2 linked regions of the Drosophila melanogaster genome follow. The protein of the gene in region 1 interacts with the protein of each later gene in a biochemical or structural test. Each region holds a gene or a part of one and is shown on either strand. Other genes may lie near its edges.

Region 1 (7,414 bases):
CCACTCATGAAGTCAGTGGACTCCCTACTAATCGGCATCGAGACCGCCACGGAATCGGAGTCAGAGGGTGAGTTGGTTTAGCAATTTGAGGGGAATAATCTTTTCAAACTGATGCTGATGCCTTTCCAGACGAAAACTCTCTGCGCATGGACTGGGAGGCGGTGCCCAGCCTGACACCGCAGCCGGAGCTGGCGGATCCCAATCTGATGCCGGCGGCCAACCAGCAGTCTACCATCGCCTTCGTGCGAATGGCGGCCACATCGGTGCTGCGCTGGATCAAATGATCGCAGACCAACAGACGTCCGATCTTTCGGCTATATCATCATGAGACACGCGTGTTATCTTTTACAAATTAGACTAAGTAATCGTTTCTGTGACAGCACGTCGGTGTTTATCGGCAGTTGCTGGTTTTAGCGTTATCCTTTGGTTTACAGAACTAATTTTGTATCAATTATATATATACATATATATTCGCTGTGTGTAAAGAAAATGCGCCTTTTGGATTTATTTCTATTACATAACTTATTCGCCTTTATTTAATAAAAATGGTTCTCTATAAATAAATATATATAAATTTGCTTTATTAATGCTTGCATAGTACACTGACTTAGTAGGTAAACGACTCAATGAGAAACAATAATTAAACTGGTGCAATAATTGGAAAATCGGCAGACACAGCTGCGAATGAAACCTACCTAGAATCAGCACTAGAATCTTAGATTAGAATCGCAAGGGAACGAGCTGAGTGACCCTAGCTAAATGAACTTTGTGGGCAGTTGTTGCGTGGATGGGCGAGCAGCTCCAGTCGTGGTCACCACATCGCCGCCAGCGCTGGGCTGCGGCAGGCTGGGTTTAACGAATACTTGTGGCAGTGTGTTGGCAGAGGCTCCCACCTGGGCGGCGGACATGGAGACGGAGCCGTTGGCCAGCAGGTCGTAGCGCGGCGAGGCGTGGCTCATCGTGGAGAGCACGATGGCGGCGGCCATCGCCTCCTGGTTGTAAAAGGCCGTCACAGCAGCCGGAAGGGGCTGCTGTGCGGCCGATCCCGAATGTCATTGGCGCGTGGGCGTACTGGGCGCTGAGGATCCCATTCCTCCGCTTGCGCCCTTGACGCTGTTCGGCGAGAAAGCCGCTTGAATGAATTGCTTTTCCATTTCCTTCAGATTTGACATAGTTTTCATTATATGCGGATCGGTGAGATCGTACACTGGACCCAGCGTTCTTGGGCTATTGTAGATATACATGTTATTCGCGCTGTAGCCCAGGGATCCATTTACCTGCCCCACCGCACCCAAAGACGACCGACCTCTGTTCTGAGTCTTGTTCTTGGGCTTAGACTGGACTTTCTTTTGGGGCTTAGAGGCAGGAAAAACTCCCACAATCTCAACGCCATCCGACTCGCTGCTGCTTTCCCTGGCTACCGACGTCGTTTGCGCGGCCTTTGAGATGGCGGTGATGACAGTGGTGGTGGCAGCTAGCTGCTTGGACGTCTGAAGTATATCGCTGGTGCATTGATAGTCATCCAGGTTGATCACATGGGGAGAGGGCCGAGCTCCCACAATCACCTTGGCTTGGCCGTCTCCAGAATGCGGACTGGGATTCCCGCTGGCTGCCAGGGAGGCGGCCGTGATCAGATTGTAGAAATTGTTGCTGGTGTTAAGGTCAATTTTCCGGCTAGGGGATGCCAGATCCAGAACCGTACTGGCGGCTGCTACGGCGGCGGCATTGAGTGCTGCTGCCTGAGCCGAGGTGCTCGGCATGGAGAGCAGCGTGTCCAGGTGGGGCAGGTGGTTGTTGTTATTGCTAATGGCTGGTATACTGACGGCCGCCGTGGCAGCCGGCGCCAGCTGGAATTGCGGATGCGGAGTAAGTTGCGGTTGCAGCGGTACCTGCTTAGCCACCTTTTTCTTTGGCGGCTTGCTGGTCTGCTTGGGCATCTCCTTCAGCTTTCGCTTCAGACTGTTGGAGGAGGCACTTGTAGCTGAGTCCGTATCGGAGTTACCTCGAGATCGAGGGTCCTCCACTGCCTTTAGGTAGCTGCTTGCCGGCGGCATTTGCTCAGGAGCAGATACAACTCCAACGGGCTTGGGCGATGCGGACGCCGGCGGTGCCTTTGGCTTCTCCTTTGCTTTCAGCTTGGCGTTCTTGTAGCGTGTTATTTCCCTTTGCAACTCATCCAAACGCATCCAGCCTGGCGGCCACAGTTCCACCACCTTTTCCTTGAGATACCAATTGATGAACTCCTCCAACGATTCCTTGCGCTTGGCTAGGAAAGCGTAGGACGTCCAACGCGCTTGGTACACATCGTACAGCAGATGGCGTAGCTCGCTGGTCCACTGGAACTTCTTACGCGGCATTTTGGGCGGCAGTTCGGAGTTCACGTCCGCAGCTCTGAAAATAATAATCATAATCTAAAGGAACCTAATCGTTATTTCGCTTAACAACAATCTTACGCCTGTTCAGCAAATGTGCGCAGTTCCGTCTCATAGTTGGCCACCGCCTTAGGCATGACCACAGCTACAGCCCGCCGCAGCTTCTCCAGCATAATGGTGGACTTCCTCTTCTCCTCCTTCGCCCGCACTTGTTTCCCTTTGCGCAGCATGTAGTACTTGGGCAGTTGCAGCTGATACTCGATGTGGGAGAAGACCATGTTGCGCTCGTTGCGGTCCGTGCACAGCACCGCCTCGTACACCCTGGTGTAGGTTAATGGATATAAGCCTTAAATCTGTACTTGATGTTTACATCGGCTGCAAACTCACCGAAGCAGTAGTGGCGAAAGCTTCACATCCAGATTAAACTTCTTGCCGCACATGTCTCGACTCTTCACCGCTTCTTTGAAGCTGTTGACTGCGGTCACAATGTCCGCATCCAATGTGGTGGGGAGCAGAGTGTCGGCGGTGCGAAGATCTTAAAAATGAACACGTGAAAGGGTGATTTCAACCAACTAATACTGTATATGTAACTCACTTTCCTGCCCATCCTTGCCATGCTGACCGGCCTGCCTATCTGCCCGGCCGTGCTCAGACTCCATATCGCTGCTATCGCTGCTGGACACGTCGGTGGAAACACACTTCAGCTCGCCGTTGCCGACGCCCTTGACAGCTGCCGTGCCGCTCTGCGACTTCAGGAAGCTGTCTCGCTTGGCCTTTAGCATGTCCTTGACCGTTGTGGTCTTAACCACCTTCTTTAAAGCTTGCGCCTGGGCCTGACTCTGCGGCAGGGACTGAAGCTGACTTGATGGCTGAGTCTGGATAGGGTCTTGGCCGTCTTCCGTGTCCGAAATCTCCACCGTGCTGGGTCGTGGCGAGTTTGAGGATGAGGAAGTGGTGATCGGCTTAGTCGGCGGCTTCTTGCCACTCGTCAAAGAACTTGAGCTTGGTTTGGACTTGCCCGTAACGATGACCTTGGCCCGCTTAGCTTGATGATTGTCTTTGTACTTGCTGCTGGATTTGGCTGTAGCAGCAGAGTCCTCGTCCTCAAGACTTTCACTCTCGGAGTCGTCTTCGGAGTCGCTTTCATCGTTCTCCTCGGAGTCGTCCTCGGAATCGCTCTCGTCGTCCTCCTCATTGTTGCCATCATCGTTTTCGTCATCATCGCCCGAGGATGACGATGAGCTTTCCGAGCTGGACGAGACCATGCGCTTGCGTGATCGCTCTGGCATTTTGATGATGGCATCTGTTCGAGTGGTGTAGGACTTCTTGGTGAGGTTCTTGAACTCCAGTGCGCCACAGTTGATGTAGAAGCCGCCCTCCAGAGTTTCCGCCTCCTCCGGTATGATTTCGTCGTACTGGACAGAACATAGAGTTTAAGGTAAATAATTTCAGTGCATTCGTCGGAAATATTTCTTGTTCTTACGGCTTCCGTGTTGTCGATGAATGAGTCCGACTCATCGTAGCCCATTCCAATGTCCCGGTAGTCGTCCTTTTTGCTCTTCCCCCTGCCTGTGGCATAGGAGTTGCCATACTTGGCCTCCAGCTCCTTGACGATCCGTGCCACATCGTCATCGTTGTCGGCAAAGGGATCAGTGCTTGCGGAGCCATTGGTAGTGCTCACCTGCTTCAGCTTTTTGGTCTTTTTCTACGGATTGCAAGGGTTTAGAAAGCGATCCTCCAACTGAGTTATACACTCTTACCTTTTCCAAATACAAAAGCCGGGAGTAGTTAAACTCGGGATACTTGTTCGAATCGGTCTCGAACAGATCGAGTTTGATGCGGATGCACTTGGCAGTCTTTGTCGTGGGTTTGGAGCTGTTGTCGGGTGCAGCGGACGCAGCATCAGGCTCCAGGATGTTGCTGCCGAAGCGCGAGAAGCCCGCATCGCCCTGGATGATCGAGGTGAGGGTGACGCGCTTGTGCTCGCCCCCCTTTGACATTTCCGGCGGGCAGAGTTACGGATATTCAGTGGGATAGGGTTTCCTTTGAGCCGAAAGGGCCTTCCCGCCCTTTTTTTTCGAAAGAGCCGCGTGTTCTTCGTTGCTCTTTCCCTCTCTCTCTCTCGCAGCCAAACAAAAACAACAGAGACGTCGCTGCTGCTGATGCTCCTCCTCCTCCTTTTCCGCTGCTTCCTCTTCTTCTGGGGATGTCTGTTTTAGGTTTTCTGCACGTACACCAAGCAACCACAACCACTTAATAACCGTGGCAATTTCACTCTGAGCTGCACTTTCTTGTTGTCGCCCCACAAACACTGCTTTATCAACATAAACAAATGGCGAGGACCTGCGCCGGATTGCACTACTTTAATCGCCGCCCGCTTTGCAGCTGCATCCGCCGACCACGGCCACGAATAATTGTCACTTTTCTGGGGGAATGAAAAAGTGGAAACTTTTTGGGGGGTTTCAAATTGGTTGGCTTGCCGGCACGAAAACAACACAGTCTGTAAAAGCAGCGCACCGGGGATTAAACACACGCAATCGACGCTACCAAAGGGGACATTTAAACGATTCGACCAGGCGCTTTTCGCACGGCCAGGAGCGCGATTCTTAAATTGTTTCTTGTTAAAATCCTCAACGCTACATTCTCTCCGCTCCACCCCGCACCAAAGATCCGACCCTGCTTTTGGCTTTCGCACTCGCGTTGCGCAGCACTGGTCGCGGTTTTCGCAAATTACTCCGAGCCGTTCACACTGCGCGCAGCACAAGCCGAGACTTGCTGCGGCTGGCTGCATTTGGCAATATTTAGTTGTTATGGGTGCTATGTATTTCCAAAATTCCGTTAGTTAGAAATTCATTAGCTTGGCATCTAGCTCATTTTTAAAGTAAAGTTTCGAGCTACCAAGTTGATAGGTTACGTAAAATATATAGGTGGCTTATGCTGTTGTAAGCTTAATTGTTTAAAAAGGACCCAAAATCAAAATATAATGTAAACTTTTTTATAACTTACGCGGCTCTAAAACTTTCCAACAAGTAACGAGATCTGGCTTGAAAGCGGCCAACACTCGCACTAGCTTTTGTGCATCCCTGTGCAGTGCCACATTCCACACACATTTCTGCTTTGTTTTGACCAGAACGGGCCGTTGTGCAGCACTGTTCGGCACAGCTGTTCAGAGTATGGGGCCGCGGGTGGTGGGCAGATTTTCTTGGGGCGATTCAGTATTATTTCGATTGTGAAGGAGTTTACTTCGTAGAAAGTCAAGTGCTCGCCGTTTAATTAGCGCAAGTGCAAGTGAGTCGCAGTACGTGAGCTTGGGGGCTTAATTTCATGCGCCCGCTCCACAACAAAAACAAGCGAAACGAAAAGAGTTGCATGCACAGAAATTCGAATTCGGTCGAAACTGCAAGGTGTTATTATAACGGGAATGGCCAGTGCTCGTTATCGGGTGAAAACGATTAGGATTGTGCAATTAACAAAAGTGTGCCGTGCTGCTCTTTTCACAATCCAATCCAACCCAATCCCCAACTCCCCCACCCCCAATCCCCAAGTGGCACCACACAAACACTAGCACATAAACACTTATGCTGCCTTTATGCTTGCAGCCCCACTCGAGCTCTTTTATGTATGTATGTACATATTTATCCAACGAATGCAAGTGACCGACGTCCAAAGAGCAACGTACGGGATACGGAGCTCCGACAAAGGCTTCCCGCTTTCAGTGGTCCGGTGACTTTCGCCGGAGTAGTGACTCCGTCCCAGGAAACCAGCTAAACAAAAAGCCCCCAGCCGCTCGTAAAAAAGTGTCATGAGACAATAAAGGAACTTTAAGAAAGAAAGGAAAAGCGACGAGAAGAGTGGAGCTCCTTTGTTACATCTCTGGAAGAATCGTTCGGCTCCGAAGCAAAGGTGAGTAATACTGCTTCATTACGAAATTACGGGGCCTTGTACATTTGTAGTTCCAAAAAACAACAAGGGGAAATCGTTCATATGGGAAACAAGAGACTACCATTATAAGATAAGATCAGAACTGCGACTGCTTTCTTTTATCTCAAGTGACGTAGTCCAAGGTGAACACAGTAAACACTCGATGCAAGGACAACTTAGGTTTAAACCAGTTTTCTACACTACAAATTATGCAAATGGGTTAGATATCAAAACGAACACCCGTTTTCTTATCATGTCTACAAGTTTCTTTGCAAGAAAAAAAGGTTAGCTACTGAGAGTGTTGCCCGTAGCACTGCTTGAATGATAAACTCTACTCCCAGACATTGAAATTCCTACACCAAAATGGAGTTACGGCAATCGACCTTGAAACATGTGGCCCCAAATGCCTTGCCAACCCAAATTGGTTTCCCATTTTCTATGAAAACTTGTGTGTTTTTTTGGTAATTCATCTATTAAAGGCGGCAGCCAGTTTTTCATCTCAAATGGACAGAAGCCGCACACAAAAATAAAGCGATACACATAAACAATCAAACAACAGCAACAAGTGAGCGCACAAATTTAATTTGCTTTTTAATGCGTCATTATTGCCGATTTGCGACATGCTCGAGCTGCTTTACTGCTACCTCTTCGCAGATTTTCGCATCCCCAAGAGGTTCGTACAGTTGCGATCGCTATCGTTATCAGGGGAGCTCTTAAACCGAATGAGCGATACTTTATTTATTTCTGCTCTCTATTTGCTTTCATGATTAATTAAATGAGTCTGCTGTAGGAGAATGTATTAGCAATAATTATGGATAATTCACCAGCCCATCCAAAGCCATTCTTAAAGTTCATTTATCCAGTAGAAAACTTTGTTACAGAGCTAGGTTCATTGATCATTAAAAGGTTAAACAGTCTTATTCATAAACATAGGAAGAAATATTATTTAATTGTGGTTCAATCCAAAAGGGATCGTTGGCCGCCTGTCGTTGATATAATCAAACCGCACTTTGTCGCCGACAATTTCATTTACTCATCGTACTTTCCCCAACCAAACTAACAAATAAACTAGAACAAAAAGAGCCGCTGGTGGTTGGCTTCACCGCCAACACGACCACCCA
Region 2 (5,284 bases), about 12 Mb from region 1:
TGGAAGAATTAGATTTCTCAGAACTAAAATACATCAATTCATAATCGAGCAGTAACTCGAGCAGCAAACTCGAGAATGCAGAACGGAGGAAAAAACAATCATCGATGTCGAACAAAAACAAAACTGCGGGTTCCAACTTTCTGCAGGAGGAGGAGCTCCTGCAGGAGGTAACGAGAGCAACGAGAGGAGCAGAAGCCACAGAGGGGAACTGGCGCTGCCCCATTGCATACCCCACCATAACGTAGCAAGTTTGAATATACTCGTACCCGTAAGATTCCCGAGTATATTAGGTAGCAAAATTTTTACGAGCTCATTATGGCTCATTTCGGCGATTGTTGTGATCCTTTTATGCGCCTTCGAATGGCTTCAAATGGTTATGAGGCTATTTCTCTGTCATCCCCGCGAGTCCTTCGCACTCGTGTCCTTCCCCTGGGTCCCAAATGCGGGATAGCGAGTTTCTGGGTCCTGGATTCCCGACTCACGATATTTAGTTTGCAGTTGCGACTGCGATTTTTACTTTACTTTTGCTTTGCTCTGGGTCTTCTCGCCTTTTGGCTTCGCTTTTCCTTGGGCTTTTGGTCGCATATTTAGAAAATGTCGCCGCGTCTCCGAATGTGATTCAAGTGTTTGTCAGTGTGTGTGTGTGTGTGTGTATGTGGTGGTGCGTATCTGTGTTTTGTGCAAGTTTTTGTATCTTTCGCTTGTTGTTGATTTTTAAGACTTGGCACCGAAAATTTGGTCGGCGGAAAATGGCGCGAGCAGGGGTTGGAAAAGTAGAAAAGTAAATTTCTTCTTATAATAAGTTTATTTTGCAAACACTTGTGGCAAGCAACTTTGTTTGGTCGCCGTCGGTTTCTGGCTTAATCTACGAGCCGTTTGTGCGAATGTGGAAACTTTGACAAATATTTGCGAAACTTTCGCGAATGGCGCGGCGTTCTCGGTCTGCAAGACCCCGATCTATTTGCATTATGCATATGAATTTATTAGCATCAATTCCCACCATATTTACATTGACATTAATATCCCATTGAAAGTATTGGCGAACGGATTGAACATTTGGATTCGAATGCGAATTTGAATTTGAATAGGAAAAGGAAAACCGCAGCACACAAATTTTCCGGATCCCTGGCTTCTATTACCGTACAATGCCGAGTTGGGGTTGACTTATTATCAATAAACTAATGCTAAACACGAGACTTTTAATAAATAAAAAATAATGTCTTCATTAATATATTATAATTCGTTTTTAAAGGCCTAATAAAGCCTTTAAGTGATAAGTATCTTTTTATGCCATACCACATTGAATTAAGCTTATAGTTTTTGAGGTAAAGGTAAAAACGATTAATTTACTAATATTTTTCTAAATTGTGAAACAATTTATACGATATTTACTTCCATAGAAATTAAATTAATAATTACAATATTCCGACTATTCTAATAAATATATTTTTTAAAACAAAAACTTTTTTGCACTTCGTTGTGTGCAAATTATTCCCCAAAATATTGAACAATTAAATAATGACCAGCTTAAACTGAATAGAATTAGATACAAATAATTTGCGTAAGCCATATTCTAGCACAAAGATTGGGAACTGAAACTGTAGTCATAAGTGCGCTAAAACCGAGCAAATACGGGATGCGCATCGTTTGGCGTGCAACTGGCAACTGGCGGGCAGCCCGTCGAGCGTTTTTCGCCACTCAGTTGAAGGAAAATCAGCCCTCCTCCATGATGAATTTCCCGCGGCGAGCGCATTTTCCTTCCTCGCGAATGAATGAACGAGAGGCGCCCACCCCGATAAACTTAAACTGAACGAACACTCAAGAGAGAGCGCAAGAGCGCTCAAAAACAATCTGGTTTTGAGCGTTTCGCTGGCTCTCTGTTTCTGTTTTCCACTCGTTTTTAGGCCGAGTCGAGTGAGTTGAGTCGGCAGAGCAAAGTCAAAACACTGGCAACTGCGATTTGGTGCCACATTCGTTCGATGGCAACGGATTGGATAACAGGCGCGCGCTTTGTTTTATTATCCACATTATCAGCGGCATTATTGTTATTATTGGCCCTCAGCGCTTTACCGCTCGCCCACGCGTCCGCCCGTGAATGCCGCGCGGAAAAGTCGCTTTCCACTAGATTGGCGTCCAGATTCGAGGAAATCCGTCAGCAGACGCATTCGCGCCCGTTCGGTCAGCACTATGGCTAATAATCGTTCAAATCGTTAAAACCATAAAAATAATAATAATAATTGCAATAACAATAAACATAGTAATAATCGTAACGCTTACGAGCCTTTGATAGTGCCAAGGCAAGCGCAATCCAAGTATTCAAATTCGAATTCAATTAACAGCAAAGTGCAATTGGCTAAAAACCGAAACCAAAACGCAACAAAGTATACGAAACACTTGTGAAACCGTACAAACAATTGTGGAAAAAAATTTAAAGATTATTAAGATTGAAGTCTCAATAAACATTAGTGCTTAAATAAATTTAAAACGACCCGCGTGGAGAGTGCAATAAAAAGAATAACTTTTGAAATAAATATTTACCAAACAGAAAAATATTTTATAAATATTTAAATAAGTGAAAAACAAATTGGTTACTCTGAAACAAAGAAAATTCAAATTGGTGCTAAAACAAAGGAGAAAAAATTTCAAGAATATTTTACAAATAATAAGACATATTTAACTATATAAAACCAAACTTAATCAACAAAGACTTGGAGTGAAAATATAAAATAAATTTTAAAAAGAGTTTAACAAAATTTGTTTAAATCCAAAGGAGGCAAAGGAACAGCACAGAAAGCGAGGAAACACTCAAATAAAATCCGCCAAAAATCGCAGATCCCTGGAAACCAATTCGTGTGAAATCGGTCAAGCCCCCAACGACTTTTAGCCCGTCTCAGACGGAGCACCGCCAAGATTCTTACCGCCAGCAGCGCAATGAACTCGTACTTTGAACAGGCCTCCGGCTTTTATGGCCATCCGCACCAGGCCACCGGAATGGCAATGGGCAGCGGTGGCCACCACGACCAGACGGCCAGTGCAGCGGCGGCCGCGTACAGAGGATTCCCTCTCTCGCTGGGCATGAGTCCCTATGCCAACCACCATCTGCAGCGCACCACCCAGGACTCGCCCTACGATGCCAGCATCACGGCCGCCTGCAACAAGATATACGGCGATGGAGCCGGAGCCTACAAACAGGACTGCCTGAACATCAAGGCGGATGCGGTGAATGGCTACAAAGACATTTGGAACACGGGCGGCTCGAATGGCGGCGGGGGTGGCGGCGGAGGCGGTGGTGGCGGCGGAGCGGGCGGAACAGGTGGAGCCGGCAATGCCAATGGCGGTAATGCGGCCAATGCAAACGGACAGAACAATCCGGCGGGCGGTATGCCCGTTAGACCCTCCGCCTGCACCCCAGATTCCCGAGTGGGCGGCTATTTGGACACGTCGGGCGGCAGTCCCGTTAGCCATCGCGGCGGCAGTGCCGGCGGTAATGTGAGTGTCAGCGGCGGCAACGGCAACGCCGGAGGCGTACAGAGCGGCGTGGGCGTGGCCGGAGCGGGCACTGCCTGGAATGCCAATTGCACCATCTCGGGCGCCGCTGCCCAAACGGCGGCCGCCAGCAGTTTACACCAGGCCAGCAATCACACATTCTACCCCTGGATGGCTATCGCAGGTGAGTGTCCTGAAGATCCGACCAAAAGTGAGTGTCCACTGCAGCACAAGTCCACTGAAAGTCCCCCGAAATCCCATCCCTTCTGTCCTCATCCCTGCAGTGCCAAAGCTTTGTTGTTTTCCCAGTTGTTATCAAGCTCAACAGATTGCAGCTATGGCAACAAAAGTCATCCTGTGATTAATTGCCGTCTCTGCTCCAATTAACAGACAAGTCAACATGTAAGGCAATATAATGAAGAGCTCGAATCGATCATGGGAAAAACAGATAACAACTTGTAATGTAAGACATATGAAAGCAGGCAGAACAGACCTTTTTATGGCAGGTTCTTAGGGAAAAGACACAACACCTTATTGGCAATCAAAAACTTTAAGCGATTTAAAAAAAACAAAAACTAAGAATGTATTATGGTTATAGGAAGCCAAAAAACAGTCCTAGTTAATATTGTGTATATTCAAATTGGCTGAAAAGTTTAGAAAAAAAGATGTGATAATACTTGGTAAAAAAATTAAAAATTTTAATAAAAAATAGTAAAATTATATTCTTCAGAGGAAAAAAATTAGGACAAGTATTTTAGATTTATTAAGTGTTAAAAAGGCAAAAACCCCCTTGGCTAACTCAAAATTATTTTCCAATAATTCTATTTAAAGGCACCCATTTGCGTGGCCATAGTTTATTCGCTGGCCGCCAATTTCAGCGATTTAATCACTCTAAGCGAGATTTTATGGCTGTGATCTCGCTTAGAGTGATTAAATCGAGTGAAGAGCCATGAGTAGCTAAAATAAAAAAATAAAAAAAACCAGCTCAGACCCTTCGATTTCACCTGCTCCGCTCCGCGACACCTTGCAGCGCTACGTCTGCCTCATAATTTTCAACACTTTGTTTACTAATTTTTGTCACCTTTGCTTTTAATGATGCTCGGCGGTAATTGTTGCAGCGCTGGCAGCCCAAGTGAGCTGCAATTTGTGCAACAAGAGAGCGGCAACGAGCAGCGTGAGTTATGGCATGCGGCTTAAAAAGAGCTGCAAAATAGCAACGGAGAAGTCAAGAAATAGCAAAAGGCAGCAAAGGCAGCCACAGGAGTCGGCGAGAAAGGGCAAGAATCCTTTCAGGACACACACTGCGCGCAGAAGTCGCGCTTATTACGGTTAACTACGCCATTATGTAATTACGTTCAGCCCCTCACCGCTCGACTTTTCCACGGGTTTCAGTCACCAGCCGAGCGAGGCGAACGGCTTGCGTCTGGGCCGAGATTGCCGTTTGGGCCAAGAACAAAGCCAAGAGTAGGTCAGCCGAAGGAGGTCTAGGTGCTCGAAGATCGAACGTAAACTGCACTCAAGCTGGCACTAAAGAAATAGGGAAAATAGAGGGCTTACAAGTTATTATTTTCAAATTAAATAAATTGTTAACTTACAAATTATTACTTTTTTTTTAATTGTTCGAAAGACTCAAAAAATTATTTGTATTATCCGCTAATATTTTTTGTCTGTGTATAAAAGGGAGCTTGCAAAATACCCTTCAAAAATCAATCAAATTTCACTTATAGCCAACGCGAAGAGCTGGTTAAAAAACAATTAAAGTTGAACTAAATTCGAGAGCCTTGCGACAGGTTTTCCA

The links.
Region 2: the proteins of yem (region 1) and Ubx form a complex in vitro, tested with the Drosophila melanogaster proteins (one study listed by BioGRID).

The regions. Positions count from the first base shown.
Region 1 is NT_033777.3:29,117,830-29,125,243, forward strand, and holds yem (yemanuclein), read right to left. Parts: upstream 5,051-7,414; 5' UTR 4,373-5,050; coding exon 4,133-4,372; intron 4,078-4,132; coding exon 3,856-4,077; intron 3,788-3,855; coding exon 2,968-3,787; intron 2,908-2,967; coding exon 2,760-2,907; intron 2,694-2,759; coding exon 2,454-2,693; intron 2,392-2,453; coding exon 1,053-2,391; coding exon of another isoform or gene 756-1,052; 3' UTR 501-755; downstream 1-500. Other genes in the region: Atg14 (Autophagy-related 14), read left to right, coding at 1-67, 130-284. UniProt on the Drosophila melanogaster protein: May play a key role in egg organization. May be a transcriptional regulator having a role in chromatin remodeling in concert with Hira, a histone chaperone. Involved in chromosome segregation by affecting kinetochores function in the first meiotic division.
Region 2 is NT_033777.3:16,731,111-16,736,394, reverse strand, and holds the start of Ubx (ultrabithorax), read left to right. Parts: upstream 1-1,968; 5' UTR 1,969-2,931; coding exon 2,932-3,697; intron 3,698-5,284. UniProt on the Drosophila melanogaster protein: Sequence-specific transcription factor which is part of a developmental regulatory system that provides cells with specific positional identities on the anterior-posterior axis. Binds the consensus region 5'-TTAAT[GT][GA]-3'.